Lepisosteus oculatus: one gene and its partner. The protein of the gene in region 1 interacts with the protein of each later gene in a pairwise test. Links are inferred from orthologs where the notes say so. Each region holds a gene or a part of one and is shown on either strand. Other genes may lie near its edges.

Region 1 (8,098 bases):
ACCAATGTACTTAGTCTAGATTGTCTTTGCATTTGTAATGAATTTGTCTTCTAGTTTAGTATGTTACAATTGTACGGTGACACTACATGTATGAATTGTCCTTAAATATGGAACTACAAAATCTAATTACACCTTAACAAATACAGTTAGCGAAGACACTGCTCGGTGGTCTCCCTTTCCTAACTAGAAACTGTTACAAGTCTCATCTCTGGTGAGGAGACAAAGTAACCAGTTATATATGTTACAGAGAACTCTGCTTACAAATATTACCTTTTCAGCCTTTCTCATGTTAGATGATTTAACAAAGTTACAAAATTAACTTTCTGCACAGATTCTTATTTCAGGCCTTTATACGCAAGGCGCCAAAGTCAAGCTGCTATGGTTACCTGTAGTAATGAGTTCCAGAGCAGCAGGAATCCCAGTGAGCCGGGGCAAGCGTTGTGTGCCCCCTGCAGCCGGAAGAAGACCCAGCGTGACTTCTGGGAGTCCTACCCGAGCCTACAGCACCAAGAGCAGGAGAACAGTATGAGAAAGAATGACTTCAGCAACGAACGTCTACCTCCCACTAAAACACAAATGTCTAGATAACTCTGATCACTAGGTACTAAATGAAATTAGACTAATGCAGATATAAATGTCAATTCACTGCACAAACTATTCCCCAAATTAGCAGTAACTTGTGCAGAACTCAAGTCATGTTCAGGAGAAAACAGACAACTCCATTTCCAAAGGGAATTTTCACTCTGTGAAGACCTATTTCTCGCAAAAAGTCCTCTTTATAAACATGATGGTATACAATAAAATACGTGACTTATTCAAGTTCTGAAAATAAAAATATAACCAAATAGTACACACAGAAAATAAAGCGAAACATGTTCAACCTGTCACACAACCAGAAACACATTTTTTTCTCTAATGAAATTATTTGTTTGCAGTGCTACCTGTGACCTACTAGCTTCTCCAGACACGAGAAACCAACAGACCCCTAACATTGTGTAGCAGTTTGATACATACAAGGACTTATTGGCATCTAATGATTATACTGATGGTGCAGGAAAGAGAAGAAATGTCCTAGCTTGCTGGTTGACCTTACCTCGGAGTGAGCGATGCGGTAATGACAGCCCAGAGCCAGCTCCAGCCCACCCCCCAGGGCCACGCCCTCTATTGCTGCCACCACGGGCTTCTCGCCGCCCTCAATCTCGTCGATCAGGGGCACCAGGGCTGGGCCGGACATCGTCCCCGAGAACTCCCGGATATCCGCCCCTGCACCCACAAAAAACATGACAGCAGCTTCTGGTCAGCAAAAGAGACCAAGAACACTGCCTACAGTACATTTCAATGGCAATTACACTAATAGAGGATGAAAAGAATATGAACTGGCAATATTTTTTAAACATTTTTATGAATTTGCACATTTTTTAAGAGAACAAATAAATGGGTTTATTATAGGCCTCTCATATATGAATGGAATTGCTGCTAGGTCATTAATATTTGCCTTTTTTCCAGTCTGGTGAAGCCAGACTTAAAAGCATTCACAGTTTCATGTGCACTGTTTCACATACCATGTTCAAAAATAATCTCCAGCTAAGCTGTGTTTACAGCACTTTCAGGGGGATAAAATCAATGTTACAAAGTCCAAATAGGTACATGACCTACCTATTTCAATAAAATAAATGTGTTTTTATTGATTTTTCATGAAGAGAAGTAGATTTAAAGCATAATGTTTTAAATCCAATGTTAATTTAAATCTAAATGCTTTTAATGAGTTTGGCATTCCTTGAATATTACTGCTTCCAAGGTAATTCAACTGTTTTCTCCAGACTTTAGCTTAGGCTTTACTTAGCTTGTGCCTACTGTTCTATCAGCTCTAGCACTGGCTAGCTGATGTTTGTACCTGCTAAACAACATCTGAGTGTTCAGACAAAGCCCATATATACTGAATATTAGCTTGGACCACACCCGTTTTTTTTTCAGAATTACTAATATATCACAGGCATTTGATAACTTATTTTAATGTTCCAAGTTCAGTTTGTTTACATAGCTCATACTGTGCTCATACTAAGCTATATTTTTCAAGCTAAAGAATGGCCACTCAACTTTCAACCAAGAACCTAACTGCCACTTTGTCAATAACAGACACAGTCCTTTCCTTACCAGCACAAAACATCCTGTTGTCTCCACACAGCACAACAGCTTTTACTTCTGAGTCAGCACCAGCTCTGCTTACTGTCTGACTGATGGCCTTACGTACTGTGGAGCTGGAGGACATTATAACAATCCACATTATCAACATTGCAGTGTTCCCAATGTACATAGCACAGACAGATTCATACAGTGAATTCATACCTCCTAAATTATAGATCTGCATTAAATTAAGAGCACTTTTCACAAATTAAATTAAGTGCAAACCTTCACAAACCAGAAGGTACAAACTGGTGAAGGCTATTACATAGTATGAACTTTATATAATTTCCCTCCTAGTTTCTGCAAGAAAATATTTTGAGGGCTTTGTTAAAGGGAATGTTGATTGACATCATAAATAAACAGACGGACAAGAAAAAAGTGAAGGACAGTTCACAGTTCAAAGACTACATTACCCTTCATAACTTATATAAAGTTTTAAAAGAGGCAATAGGTGTACCGTATGTTTCGTGGTGATAATTTAATAATGTTAATTTATGACAGACATTTATTTTATAAAGCCGGAACACGCAGCTTGAGGGTGAAAACAATGTTGCAGCTCAGTGTACAGTATAGCTACTAAGGGCATACACACCGTTCTTGCACAGCTAGTGCAGATGTCTATAGCAGCACACTTATTTTACATAGTTTGCCCAGTAACCTATGAAAATATTTAACTAAAAAATCCTTACAGTACTTTTCCTTTCAACTTTAGTCTGTTGCGTTGTCAATGACATTACCAGCAAGAATACATAACTATTTTTACTTAAATTAAGCTTACCTGAGTGCATTGACGGGTGGGTTAGTCAACGTTATTACAGCAACGGAGCCAGGAATGCGAGTATAAACTGCCATTTTGTTTTCCACAGAGACTGATAATACTATCGTTCCACTAACAGATGCGCTAGTGAAATACCTACGAAACCTTGAACTTTAACCAGGTGAGATCCTCACCGCAATACGTAAATGTAGTCTGCCAACCAAAACATTTAACCTTATGTTTTTTAGTTGCCCGAAAGGAAGATATGAGTGCACACAGCTAGTCAGATAGGTCAAACTCCCGAGTTTACACAAGTAAAATTCCACACCATTATTTTTGTTTATACTTTTTAAATTTCATCTTTATGTAGATATTAATGGAAGTGAATCGGTTTTCTTGTTGAATGAGTGTCTATATCTAATTGAGCAACGCTTATTGTTAAGAAGCAATACATTTATTGATAAAAGAAACAACAGTTCTCTGCAACATGTTTAAATCTGAGGTTGTAGCATATACGTAACTTCAAAGTCCACGTTTAAAGCTACAAGGCCATGTGCATCTGACGCAAAACTACGCCAGTACCACACTGACTTTACATTGGACTTTGACATCGAGTAGCGTGATGCTAGCTGCATTTAGCGACGCTAGCTTGGCAGAGATATTTTGACGGATATACGTGATCCGTCTTACTGTTATCAGTCCGACTGCTCTTAATGTTCCCCTTTATTTTTGTTACCACAGTAATGTAGTTCCGCTGTCTGTACAAGGATACTGTAGGGAGAGGTTAAGTTGCTCAGTGCTCAAACAACATTGCTGTCACTCTGTAAGTTCCGGAGCTAGAGATTTAGCCTCTGAAGTGCTAGCCCTGGGACCATGCGATCTATATCGGGGTTAATTTTACTGGTCACTGCGGCTACTTTCTATCTCTACCTTCTCTCCACTTATTTGCCCCCGGGGCCGCATCACCCTCGTACAGGGGATGAGCCGGTCAAGTCCAATGAAAACTCGGACCCCGACTTGGGGTCGGAAGAACATAGGTAAGTTATAATTGATACTGCGTTCTTGGTCAGACAAAGACACCGCTACTGCAAGCATTTTGTCTCATTTCTCATCCAGACTCATGGGAAATGTCATAATCAAAAGTTGGCAATTTCATGTTTTCTCGTTTTGTGGTAGTGACCATTATGGAATAATGTAGACATTAAAATTTGTTTTTAGTACCGCGGGGATTGTTGAATAATATTGTACTACGTTAACATTTTTTAAGGTTGAGTATGTGGAATATGCTTTTAAAGTAAAAAATCAACGACGTGTCTTATGAAGGAAGATGTCTGTAGTTGATGCTGTAAGGTTTGAGAAAATAAGTTCATTTAAAAAATAAATGCTCAGTGAAATGTAATAACTGAGTACACAACGAACGCGTAATTCTATGATTTGTAATAATGCTTATTTATTGACACTGTCACCGGGGTGTTATAATCAATACAGACTTCCATCTTTAAGACTTGGAGGGTACAGTAACTACTTCCCAACTACACAGAAGAACCTTACATATACAGTAACAGGCTCCCGCTTTATTTAAATGCGACTAGCATGTATTCTAAACATGGCTGTATTGGTTTTGAAGCCATGCGTTTTAGTAAAACTTTTACTATAGAGCTTCAACTATATCAATTACTAATAACGCGTATTACATCTGTGTGCATGTTAAAAATGAATTTTGGTATGAAAGCGAGCACTCTAGTCGAGTACCTAATCTCCACAAAGGTACGTTTTAGTCTTATGATGCACGTTTTATTTGCGTAAATAATAGCAATAATAATACGACTTTTCTACTGTAATAATACGTGTAGCAATGCATGCATTTCTAATATGGAAATAACTAGACCCAGTAACGACATTCATTTGACTGTACGTTCGCTTTTCCTGGACTGTTGCAGCGGTAACACTGACACCTTTTATTTAATATTTAAGACATCGGTGATGTCGAATGGTCAGGTTTTACATACATTAAGTTTTGAAGATAATGTTCAAAAGCAAGACAAGCACTATGGGTTTAGAGGCATCACGGTATTGATACAATTGATTTTATTTATCTTAGTTAAACATTTTTGAGAAATGTGTTGCCAAATTTGGTGCTGCCATTAAAGGTTTGATAGTATGAAAGAAATCAGAAAAATCAGTCTCCAGTTTGTATGTAATATCCTGTTTTATGTAACCACGGATAGGGTTAGTTTGTAATGTTACCTTATTATTATGATATAAAAATAATGTGTATCACCACCATAGCCCTACTCTTTTAAAGTTATGAAGTGGCTGACAGTCATTTGTATTAAAAGGAAAATATAAAAGTAAGGCCTACACTATGAAAGTGATTAAAGTAAGATCTACATTGCTCTACACACAACATACAGTAAGTTGTGATGTTTATGTTTATAATATCTTGATAGATTTATGTTCTTATTATTTCCTTTCACAGGGTGACACAAAATATATAAAGAATGTATAGCTCAAATTCAAAAGGAGTAATGTAATATGGTCAGTGATTTTCTTCCCCTCTGTGATGATCACCTATTTATAGCACCACGTAACTGTAGATCTTGCTCTTGATCTTGCTTTCTGCTGGGGTTTTCCACAAGATCAGACACCTGTTTTGGGGGGATGGCCATGTTTCACGAAGTTAGTCCCCAACATGTCTAATCTGCAATCCGCCTGATCCCATTTGCAGCACTGCCATGCAAGTTTTCCGACCAAATGTGCTGAGCACCATAATTCCACGTGCTCTAAAACCCGTTTGAGCCACACCATCTCAGAAGTGATAGTGATACGGTCACATAGTATTCAACACCTGTTTTGAGCTAGCATATCTTCCTCAAGGGTTGGGTAAGATTCATAACAGATCAGTCTCGGATTTCGTTTTGTTGAGGGCTGTGTTCTTGTTAGTTTGTTTGGAATTTTAACCATATAAATAAACCAGCCAAGATTGCGCAGTAAACAGTGGTGGTATATAAAGGGGGACTGCTTATGTCAGCCTATCAAATCATCCTTCATCCATCCATTATAAGAAAGCCACTTATTTTTGGAAAGGGTTGGGGACAAACCGGATCTACTGTAATCCCAAAAGCAAAGGGTGCAAAGCAGAACTACACCTGGATGGGATACCAGTCCATTCCAGGAGAAAATAAAGGGAGAGCATGCAAACTCCATACAGAATGCACCCCTGCCTGGCATATATTCAAGAGCTGTGAGGGAGCATGGTCAACTGCTATATCTCAGTGCCAATTTACCAGTCTAATCAATCCATTGTAAATAAAAAATTCCATAGAAGGAAACATTCCATAATGTAGGGAGGAAGGAGCAAACAGTGAGCAGACAACTGCATGTGTTCCCAAAATGCTCGTGTGAGATTTTGTTTCAGATTTTGTTAACTAGAGGGTCTCCACCATTGAAAAGCTGGACTTTACTGTCATAAGACAATCTGTGGTGTAGTCCAGTATTTATTTTTTAAATGAAGTAGCATGGGCAGTCACAAGAATGTGCCTGAGCAGTGCTGATCTGGTGAATAAAAGAAAAGGAATTTTGTTGTTGGTAATTCATCAATATAATCAAGGGTTCCATTCTGTCTGGATTTCCTGTTCTTCAGGCACACATCCCCATGCATTCACCTAGAACTGTATTTTTAACAAATCTGGATGAACAAGTTTTAAACTTCATATTTATTTTATTTATTTTTGAGTATTATTTCTTTCACTTTTAAATTACAGAGTGAAATTTAGAACCTGTGTTTACTCTCCCAGAGGGAACTATGTTTCCAGCTAAAAAGGAATACAGACACATGCAACATGCCACTGTGACCTTGTGAAAAGAGAATGTCATTATGTAATCATTTTGGGCTCAAATAAAACTAGGTCACTTCAGAAAGGACCTGATTGGAAGTAGGCTTGCTGCATTCCCATGAAACACAATGTTGTACTTGCAATACCAGAGAAGGATTCTTTGTTATAAAACAGTGTGTTGTGTAAAAATTATTCCAGACACACTAAAACTAACTGAATGAGTAATAACAGTAACGTTTTCTTTGAAAGGTGCTATAAGCATATTAGGTAAAGCCTCCTTATTCATAAATCCCTTTGTGCATTTTTGTTACTGCAGTGTTATTGGGTCATACTGAATCGTAGGCTAAAGGTGACCTTTGACTGACATTGTGGAAACATACTGTTGATATGCTATCTACTGTATTGGTGATGGAGCAATGGGTAACTTTAAAAATAATAAAAGTAGAGACCTGGACAACTTGTACAAATTAAGAAAGTGGTTCACGACATCCAGATGTGTGAGCTGAAATTCAGTTGTAATTATACATACACAAGGAAAGGGGCCACACGTCCTTAGTATAGATCATGCAAGTCTCGAGGACTATTCAGTAAGTGATGATTATGCAATAATTTTAAATTTTATAAATAATGGATATTTCTATTACCATCATGAATGTGGTTTTCATTACAACTGTGATTACATTACATTACACTTACAATACTGCCTTTTACAGTTATTCATATTTTAGAATTTAAGTTAACAAACATCCCTATATGAATTTCAACTAAATTAATAACTGCAGTTCTCTTAATGTACATAATGTATGGCTGGAAACTGCATGATTAGGTCTATAATAAATAATCCACTTGGGAGCCCCATCAAAGATGAACTTTTTCACAGTATAACAAGAGGTAATGTGTGCTGCCACTTTTAAAAGGTGGCCACTGATGTTACGATGTGAGAAAGCTGATCTTTCAAATCAGGAAGTGATCTGTATGTAAATCTGAGACTTGAGCTTTCCCTCCTGTGTCGTACTCTTGTCTAGAGACCTGTCTGGTTTCCATCCCTCATCCTGTAAGACTGCTATGTCTTCTGCACTAATTCCAGCTGAGTTCTTAATCGCATCCTAATCATTTCCTTAATTCTTTCAGTTTGCTTTTGGTAAATTCAGCGTAGAATGGGATTTGTAATTTGTAATTTGTGAATTTAAGCACTCCCCTTGTTAAGATGTGTGAAATACAAAATAATGGACCCCAGAAGGAACTTATTTATTGTGGGAATGTTTGATCATTGCACTTCCCACACCTGTTCATAAATTGATCACCAGTTAATATTTATTTA
Region 2 (8,095 bases), on another chromosome or scaffold:
TGGAAAAGCTCACAGATTCAGACCAGAGATTCTTGAAATGTCCTCAGATTTCTATGAAGGCGTGACAGCTGCTAATAGCAGTGTCACCAGCTTGTAGCTTGATCCTGTCACATATCAGAACGTAAACAAGTCTGGGCCTGATCGGTACCGGAATCCGAGACATCCAAGGAGCACCAAGTTACAACTATAAGTGATGTTAGTGGTGCTCTTCTCTCTAGAGGAGGGACACATCATTGCAGGAGGTGCTGTCTTAAGACAGACCAAGCTCATTAAGAGATCCCATGAGACTGTTCACAGGAGTAGGGCTGTAAACCCTGGTACCCTGGCTAGATTTGATTCTACATATGCACAAGCTGACCTGCATGGAGTTGCTATCAATCTAGGCCCACAGGAATGTTAAGAAATGCATGTTCATTTAGACTTTGAGTGCCAGCAATGTTATTTAGGATGTCTGAGGTCACATGGTACTGATTTACATTAAAATGCTGATCACTCCTGGTTTGCACATACAGCTCATAAGGGGTAACCTCATGTTAACAGTTGTTGTCAGGGGCTTAATGCAGCATTTACAATAGAGTTAGGCCTATTACAGTTATGCTTTGTTTCCTTGTTTTATTTTCAGGCCCAGTCTGTGTGGGTAAGATTCTGTATTGTTTCTTTTTCCTGTGAAGAAAAGAAAGAGATTGTCTAACTTGGCAGAGACATTACTTCAGAAAACAAACGGAACATGTTTTCCGACAAAAGCGCAGGTTTGACAGATCATTTAAATAGTAGTAAGCTGCCACCTAGTGTCAACAGCTGAGAATGCAAGGGGGGACACTGGTCGTGAAGTTTAATGTAGAGTAATAGCATGAGACCTTAGACATCTCAAATAACGAACATGCCATTTCTTAACACCCCCTGTCCACCTAGAATAATAGCAAAATTCTAGGACCATGAGGAATTGTAATTAATTGCTTACCCACTACAAAGCAGTTTACCTAGAGAAGTTACAGGGTAAGGAAGCACTTCAGGCAGGTCAGTGTGTCCATGTGTATAAACTCAAATCGATCATTTTCATTTACAATAAAGCAGACGTAATCCATGTATAGTGGCAGCACCAGAAACCATTTTTAGTGAGGGCTTAGCATGTGGGAGAGTGAAGACATGATGAATTTTTTGGTTTAATATGCTCTGGTGTTTGCCTGTGGTAACAGCAACCTCTGAAACCACAAATGTGGCCAATCCTATATAGTTACCCTGTACTTTATGAGACAGACTTTTAAACAACACAGGTATCGCCAAATGGATTTCATAAAGTGGTGTGACTTAGTCCCCAAGCATAATGACAGACAACTCAACCCTCCCAGTCTAGATCTACATCTAAAGAGATTTAGATTAGCAGTGCTAGTGTGTTTCAGCACAGTAACAGAAAATCCCTTCTTTCAGTGTAAGAATACAGTACCTTTTGCTCCTTTGATACCCTCCAGTTTCCAGGACAGAAGCCTTCCCCAGATTGCTACGATTGTTATTTAAATTCTTCATTAGTTTAGTTGGAACAATTTCAGTCAGAACTGCGTCTGACATGTTTTTAGATACCACTGACCAAGTTATGATGCAAGAAATAAAAGGTAAATATAAATGTAATTGTAAAATTTCCCTCATGACTGCTTCACACATTTATGACTGCACGGTCCTGTGCACTTGTGAAGCTGAGTTTGGTTTTACGACATAAAAAATTGCAGCTCTCAAGTGATGCATCTCAAACTTCCTTGTAGCACAACCCTAATTAACTAGCCTCCAGTTACAACATTAACATGCAATTAGTTTCTGAAAGTTACCGATCCACTTTGATTACTAATCTTTAGCATTTTGAACAAGATTGGATGAGATTACAAGGACTGAGAACAAACAGAAATGAAAGTTTATAGAGTGTAGTAAATCCAGAGGTCAAGACTGAACCAAAACAGTCTTTCATTCTTCCATTTTTTTCTCATTTGTTTTCGTGTTGAATCATGAAAACAAATTAGATAATTACCCAGAGAGCACCAGGAAGTGCACCTGAAACACTGAATATTAACATTGCAACTATAATTAGTGTAGATTTATCAAAAAACAGTAGGAGGTATAGAAGTTTCCATCTAGCACAATTTCACTTGTCAGTAAGAATCAGTCCTATGCTTGTCTAGACATGCATTATGTCTAATGCACCTATTTAGAAAACATTCAAAACTGATTTATGGTATGAATGCTTACGGTTTCTTACAAAACTGACGTGTGGAAGTTCAAGAAGAAGTCTGTATGTATATAGTGAAGTGCCTTTAAAACTGCAAACAGGAGGTGTCTCTTTACCCAAAGGGTTGCGGGAGTATGGAACAAACCGCTCGGCCATCTTCTTGAAGCTGAGACATTGGCTCCTTCCAAGAAACAGCTAGAGGTTATATCCAGAAATAACTGGTTAACTACCAAAACAGGAGGGATGTGCCAAAGGGGCTCCTCTCATTTGTAACATATCAGACAGAGAAGCTTAAGTATTTTAAGGTCAATGATTCTTTGTTGGTTTTGTTCTACTGGCCCTGCCTTGAATCTGTGCTAACTTTTACCCTGATCTGCTGGTTTGGTAACCTGAATCTGAGAAGCAAGAACAAACTGGGCAGCCTTGTGAAAATATGTCAGAAGGTCCTTGGTGCTGATCTTCCAGCCATCTCCTCCATCTATCATTCACGTGTTTTACACAAAGCAAAATCCATCTGCAATGATCATTCACACCCCTTGTTTAATAATTTACAGTTACTCCCATCAGAACACAGATACCGACTCTCCAGCTCCAAAACCAACAGATTCATACCTGTAGCCATATCCTTACGTAACTCTTGACCTTCAATGTAAATATGTATGTATATTGTTGTTCCTGTCTTTTTGTTCTGTTTGTCTGTACACCAACACTGCTGCTGTAAAACAACTTGCTTCCCCTGGGGTAATAAAGACACTCTTTCTCTCTAAACTCATACCCAGTGCTGACAATCCCTAATCCCTGGTCTCAGGGTGTCTTTTGAGCAAAACTGCTGAACTGAGTGAAAATTCCTTTGGAAATGAAGGGAGTTGGCAGACAATTAATCACCACTTTCTTAAAGTCTGGCTCTTCAGAAAAAGCTAAACGAACTACTTTACAACACAGAGAAACATACTTTCTTTTAATAAAAAAAAAGACCACTGAGGACCAAATGTTTCTCTTTGCATTCATAAACTGTAACTCTTTGGAAGTATTTTGAAACAAATATATTTTTCTCCCCAACTGTTATGTTCAGTCACACACAGATGAAAATGAACAGGGCACTTCGGACAGCATGAGGGACAAGACCAACAGTACTAAGGAAGGTAGTCAATTGCATGGAGACAAGAGATAAATGAATTATGATTGGTGTACTTACATTTTTTAATTTAGGTTACAAAACAAGTCAATTGAGAATAAATTCTCATTTACAGCAACATCCTTGAGACTCGTTTCTGCATTTTTTGGACCAATCTGAGCATGACCCTTCACTCAAGGGTGCGACAATCGCAACCCATTTAGGATTTGAACCTGTAGCCCTCTGATTTGGGGGTAAAAGCCGTGACCTATACTCCACACCACTGCCTGTAGTGTAAGACATATCTTGTTGTACATGAAACACCTCACTGGAGACGGGCTAACCTGAACTAATTCTTCTCTCTAAAGAGTATCTTGTCTTGTCAGCTGGAGTGATTCTTAAGACTGGGGCACTTCCAGTTTATCTGTATGGAGATGTGCAGATTGTAAAACAAAGTTGTGAGTAGTTTATTATTGCCATGAATTAAGGTTCCAGTTTCACACAAGCCAGGCTTAGCCTATAGCTAGGGATTGTAATTCTTCAATTAAGACCCAACACAGAAAGATGGGCAGGATGGTTGGTCCCTTTTCAGGCCATTAAGGCCCAGGGGGAATGGGGGGGCAAGGGCCACCATTATTCCTCAACCATCTGACACTGGAGGTGGAGGTGATGAGGTCAGCACCACGCGCCAGCCAGCCTGTTACCCCCAGAAGGATTAACCCCCAGTACTCTAGTGGAAAGCAGGCTGAGTGGACCTGGGAGCCCTCTGGAAGGAATTAGAGCAAGCTACATCACCTGCCCCCTACCCGGGACTGAACTCTGGACTTTCTGGTCAGGAGCTAGACTTCAACTTCGTCAGCTTCTTCCTAGTCTCCTCTCTGGAGGAGGAGGGTATTTTCTATACAGAAGCTGTGCTTCATATTCGTTGTTTTGCTTCATTATGTGTTCGGCCCATCTTGCATAGATTGTTACTTCCTATGCTGGTAATCGAAAACAAAATTTTCATAAAACATCAACTCAAATTATTTTGAAGCAAAGGCACACGGGACACCCTGCAGCCTTTGTGGAAACCGTGTGTTTGGCTGTACAATATGGTGTGCTGAGGCTGTTCGTTTGCCAATGGACTGAGTTCAAGCAGATTGCATAGGTGCACAGTTTTTCCATAAAGACCCTGAATTCTCCTCACTGCTCTCCTTCATAGCTGGCAGCTTGTCTACACTTGTGAATACACCACCACTCATGGGCATAGCATCTTTTATTTAATATTTACTGTTATTCAAAGAAAACCAAAACCGTGAGTTTAAAGGATGCTGCAGTAATTGGGTGCTTTTTGTAATTACATTCGTTACCTAATGATTTGGTTTGTGCAATCAGATATTAAATCGACTGTAACTTCCAGAAAAACGGACAAACAGAAGAGTTATCGTAAACTGCCCAAGGAAAACGCCTGAACATTGAACGCGGCACCGGGCTGAAAAAGTGGACTCTGTCTCTTTAAAAAGCGTTCCCCCAGTCTCCGGCTCAGGCAGTGTGTGTGTATACGGTTTCTCATCCCCCGCTCCGGCTCGTTATTGTTTATCATCGTCGTTTTGTCAGGTCATGGCTGCTCATTGTGCTGAAGAACCCTTCCCTTTCCACGGACTGCTTCCCAAAAAAGAGACCGGGGCCGCGTCCTTCCTTTGTCGGTACCCCGAGTACGATGGTCGGGGCGTCCTCATCGCCATCCTCGATACCGGCGTGGACCCAGGGGCCCCGGGTATGCAGGTAACACCAGCAGGGGGAGTGCGGGGAGGTGCAGGCCGCACGTCGGCAGCCGCCGGAGTCACTTGATGGAAGTTACCCGGCAGGAAGCCGGCTGTGCGGCGTGGGACAGTGACTTTATGCATGGTCGCTTCTCCACAGGCCTGCATCGGTGAAGTCGGTTAACAATGGCACATTGCCGTGTCCAGTCATCTCTTGTGTATCTGGGCACCCTGAGCGAGACTTGTTTGTTGACGTTTGTTTTGCATCGCTAGCTGTTCCCAGCTCTGCTTTGCTTTGCTTACCATTTTCAATCGCAATTTCCTTCAGGGTTTTCTTTTAGCTGAAACGTTTTTGAACAGTGCCAGCTGCAACAGGGCAGGGGTTGTCCCGTTTCATATTTTTGAATGAAATTTGTCTTTTATCGGAGCTGGTGGAGATAAAAAAAAAACAACATCCTCAAGGTGATGAAATGAGATGGAAAACGCTGGGCATTAAAACAAAAATCCAGTTGTAGGAATTTAATGTGTATTATTGCAGCTAAAATCGACAAAAAAAACCCAACTTAGCTGACATCATTTATATGAGTAGTTATACTGATATATTTTAATTATGAATCTGACAGTGTAATATAAACAAACCTAGCACTGATTTATCATTTATTGTAAGTGAATTTATTTTGCCCATCAAATAAAAAAAAAAAAGATCATGGTCCATTTTAATTTATTCATTATTCTGATTTGTTTTTATTTTAATCAAATCTGTTGTGAGGTTAGCAGGATTTCATATAACTTGATTCTGAAGTGCTCAGTTTTTCAATAATGTCAATTCTGTTTTCTTTTGAAATATGTCTACATCACAGAACACTTTTTAGACACTTTTAGACACTAGTTTGGGTGCATTTTTCTCCCCATCTGTATTTTTTGCACACAGGGAGAAAAATAAAATTTAGTTCTGGCTATTTTTTCAGTGTCTGAAAGGGCTTTAGGCAGCGATACTGCAGTGATCCACCGAGCTCCGAGAAAAGTTGAAAGCCGTCAATAACTGAATCTGACCTATTTACCTCTTGCCATGTATTGATGTGTTTATTTGTACATGAATACATCAATCCAGTCTTTTATACTAGAAGTTAGCCATTTGCAAAATTGTCCAGAATGGCTAAAAACATTGCTTGCTCTTTTGTACTTCTCCGTGGGAGAAGCCAAAGACAAATTCCCAACAGCAGTGGACAATAAAGTATCTACCCCTTCGATTGAAAGGGCTTCCCTCGTAGTTGTCTTCTTGATTTCTGCAAGCAGGTATTGACAGAGTGCGGCCGCCCACCAGGACCAGCGGCTGCACACGCCTCGAGCTCTCGGTCATCTCTCGCGGTCAAAACGTTCTCTTTTTAGGTGACGTCCGATGGGAAGCCGAAGATCGTGGATATCATCGACACGACGGGCAGTGGGGATGTGAACATGTCCACGGTGGTGGAGCCGAAGGACGGCATTGTGGTGGGCCTGTCGGGGAGGACGTTGAAGGTCAGGCCCCTCGGTCAGCAGAGTCTGTGCTCTCTTCCTGTCCTGCCTTTGTAGCTTGATGGCGACAGCTGTGCTGCATTCAGTGGAGGTGGCCATGCGCTCTGTGTGGTTGCCTGTGTTTTAGCTCTTCTGCCGCTCTGATGAGTAGAGAGAAATGTCCAGGGCCTTCTTAGGGTCAAACAGACCTGAGGAGCTTACTCCAGCCCGCTGTGATTCACGTCCATTCGTTTACATGAACTTCTTGACCTTTGAACGGGAGGTTCCCCTTTTACCCGGAACCACGCAGAAATGTTCTTCAGTAGCCGAAAAATCGATGCCTTTCGAAATCCTTTTGTGTTGATACTGTTTTTAATGCAAAAGGTGCAGTCTCACGCCATCGTGTCTGTTGCTCTTGTAGATTCCTGCAACATGGATAAACCCATCGGGGAAGTATCACATCGGTGTCAAAAATGGATACGAGTTTTTTCCAAAAGCCCTGAAAGAGAGAGTACAGGTAACAGTGCATGCACGTTCTACTTTCGACTTAAGTATTTTTTATTGATACTCGGTAACTCAGTGGCTGTTGCAGCCCTCTCAAGCACAAGTAAATAAACAGTGGGAACACTATATATTGGTTTTGTTGTCCCGTTCAATCCCATTTTCTCCCACTCAATGTAATGTGCAAATTACCCACTATGTTGTCTCAAGGCTTATTTTGTTTTTTTCTTTTCAGCCTTCGTTTGACTTTAGCAAAGTGTAATGGGATCATTTAACTCTTGAGCCCTTTGGCTATTTTTACAAGGTAGTAAGTCAAAAACAGATACATTAAGCAGATAGGTAATAGATAAAGGGTCAGGTACACAGATTAAAGCAGTTTCCAATTCAAGGATGCATGAGCTGTATTGGATTTGCTTTTTAATTAAGGTCGATTTTTAGTTCCTCGTGCCCAGTGCCCTACTGTGGGAGCAGGTGTTAAGGTACCTGTGGTTGTCTTTGTGTTTTCTTTGTGCAGAAGGACCGCAAAGAGAAGCTGTGGGACCCGTCCCATCGAGCTGTGCTGGCTGAAGCCTGCCGGAAGCAGGAGGAGTTTGACAGCACGCACACCACTCTGTCCCAGGTCAGCTGGACAACTGCTGAACAGTCACACGCTGAACACAGGGCCGTCAGTGGCTCTGCTGATCCTGATGAACACCTACCACACCATCAGTGCACAGCAGACTGAGCCCAGCTCTTTGAGTGGCTCTGTTGGTACATATGAGCACCTGCTATCCCCCTGGTACAGCACACACAGATCTCTGAGCTTTCAGAGGCTGTGTTGCTTCAGATCTCTCTCAAAAAAAAAAAACCCCAACAAAACCACATCCTGCTTAAAGGAGAGTGAGACATACACAAAGATGGGGCACATCTATTGCAGAGTTTTTTGTTTTTGTAAGCTGATGTCATCGATTGGAGACTTTTTCGGCTGTGAAGCTAGTTACAGTGCTTCGTATAAAACCTTTAAAAGACTAAGAAACGAGTAAGGAAGAA

The links. The genes of interacting proteins can lie anywhere in the genome.
Region 2: the proteins of ehhadh (region 1) and tpp2 interact in binary tests that used the Homo sapiens proteins (3 or more experiments, as listed by UniProt). The two-hybrid records come from large-scale screens. The link is inferred for Lepisosteus oculatus from reciprocal best matches to the Homo sapiens genes EHHADH and TPP2.

Annotation. Positions count from the first base shown.
Region 1 is NC_090707.1:24,619,473-24,627,570, reverse strand, and holds the start of ehhadh (peroxisomal bifunctional enzyme), read right to left. Parts: upstream 3,428-8,098; 5' UTR 3,037-3,427; coding exon 2,963-3,036; intron 2,259-2,962; coding exon 2,155-2,258; intron 1,264-2,154; coding exon 1,094-1,263; intron 499-1,093; coding exon 387-498; intron 1-386. Other genes in the region: transmembrane protein 41A-B, read left to right, coding at 3,815-3,978. UniProt on the Homo sapiens protein: Peroxisomal trifunctional enzyme possessing 2-enoyl-CoA hydratase, 3-hydroxyacyl-CoA dehydrogenase, and delta 3, delta 2-enoyl-CoA isomerase activities. Catalyzes two of the four reactions of the long chain fatty acids peroxisomal beta-oxidation pathway.
Region 2 is NC_090710.1:29,087,790-29,095,884, forward strand, and holds the start of tpp2 (tripeptidyl-peptidase 2), read left to right. Parts: upstream 1-4,807; 5' UTR 4,808-4,928; coding exon 4,929-5,093; intron 5,094-6,460; coding exon 6,461-6,589; intron 6,590-6,986; coding exon 6,987-7,082; intron 7,083-7,580; coding exon 7,581-7,685; intron 7,686-8,095. UniProt on the Homo sapiens protein: Cytosolic tripeptidyl-peptidase that releases N-terminal tripeptides from polypeptides and is a component of the proteolytic cascade acting downstream of the 26S proteasome in the ubiquitin-proteasome pathway.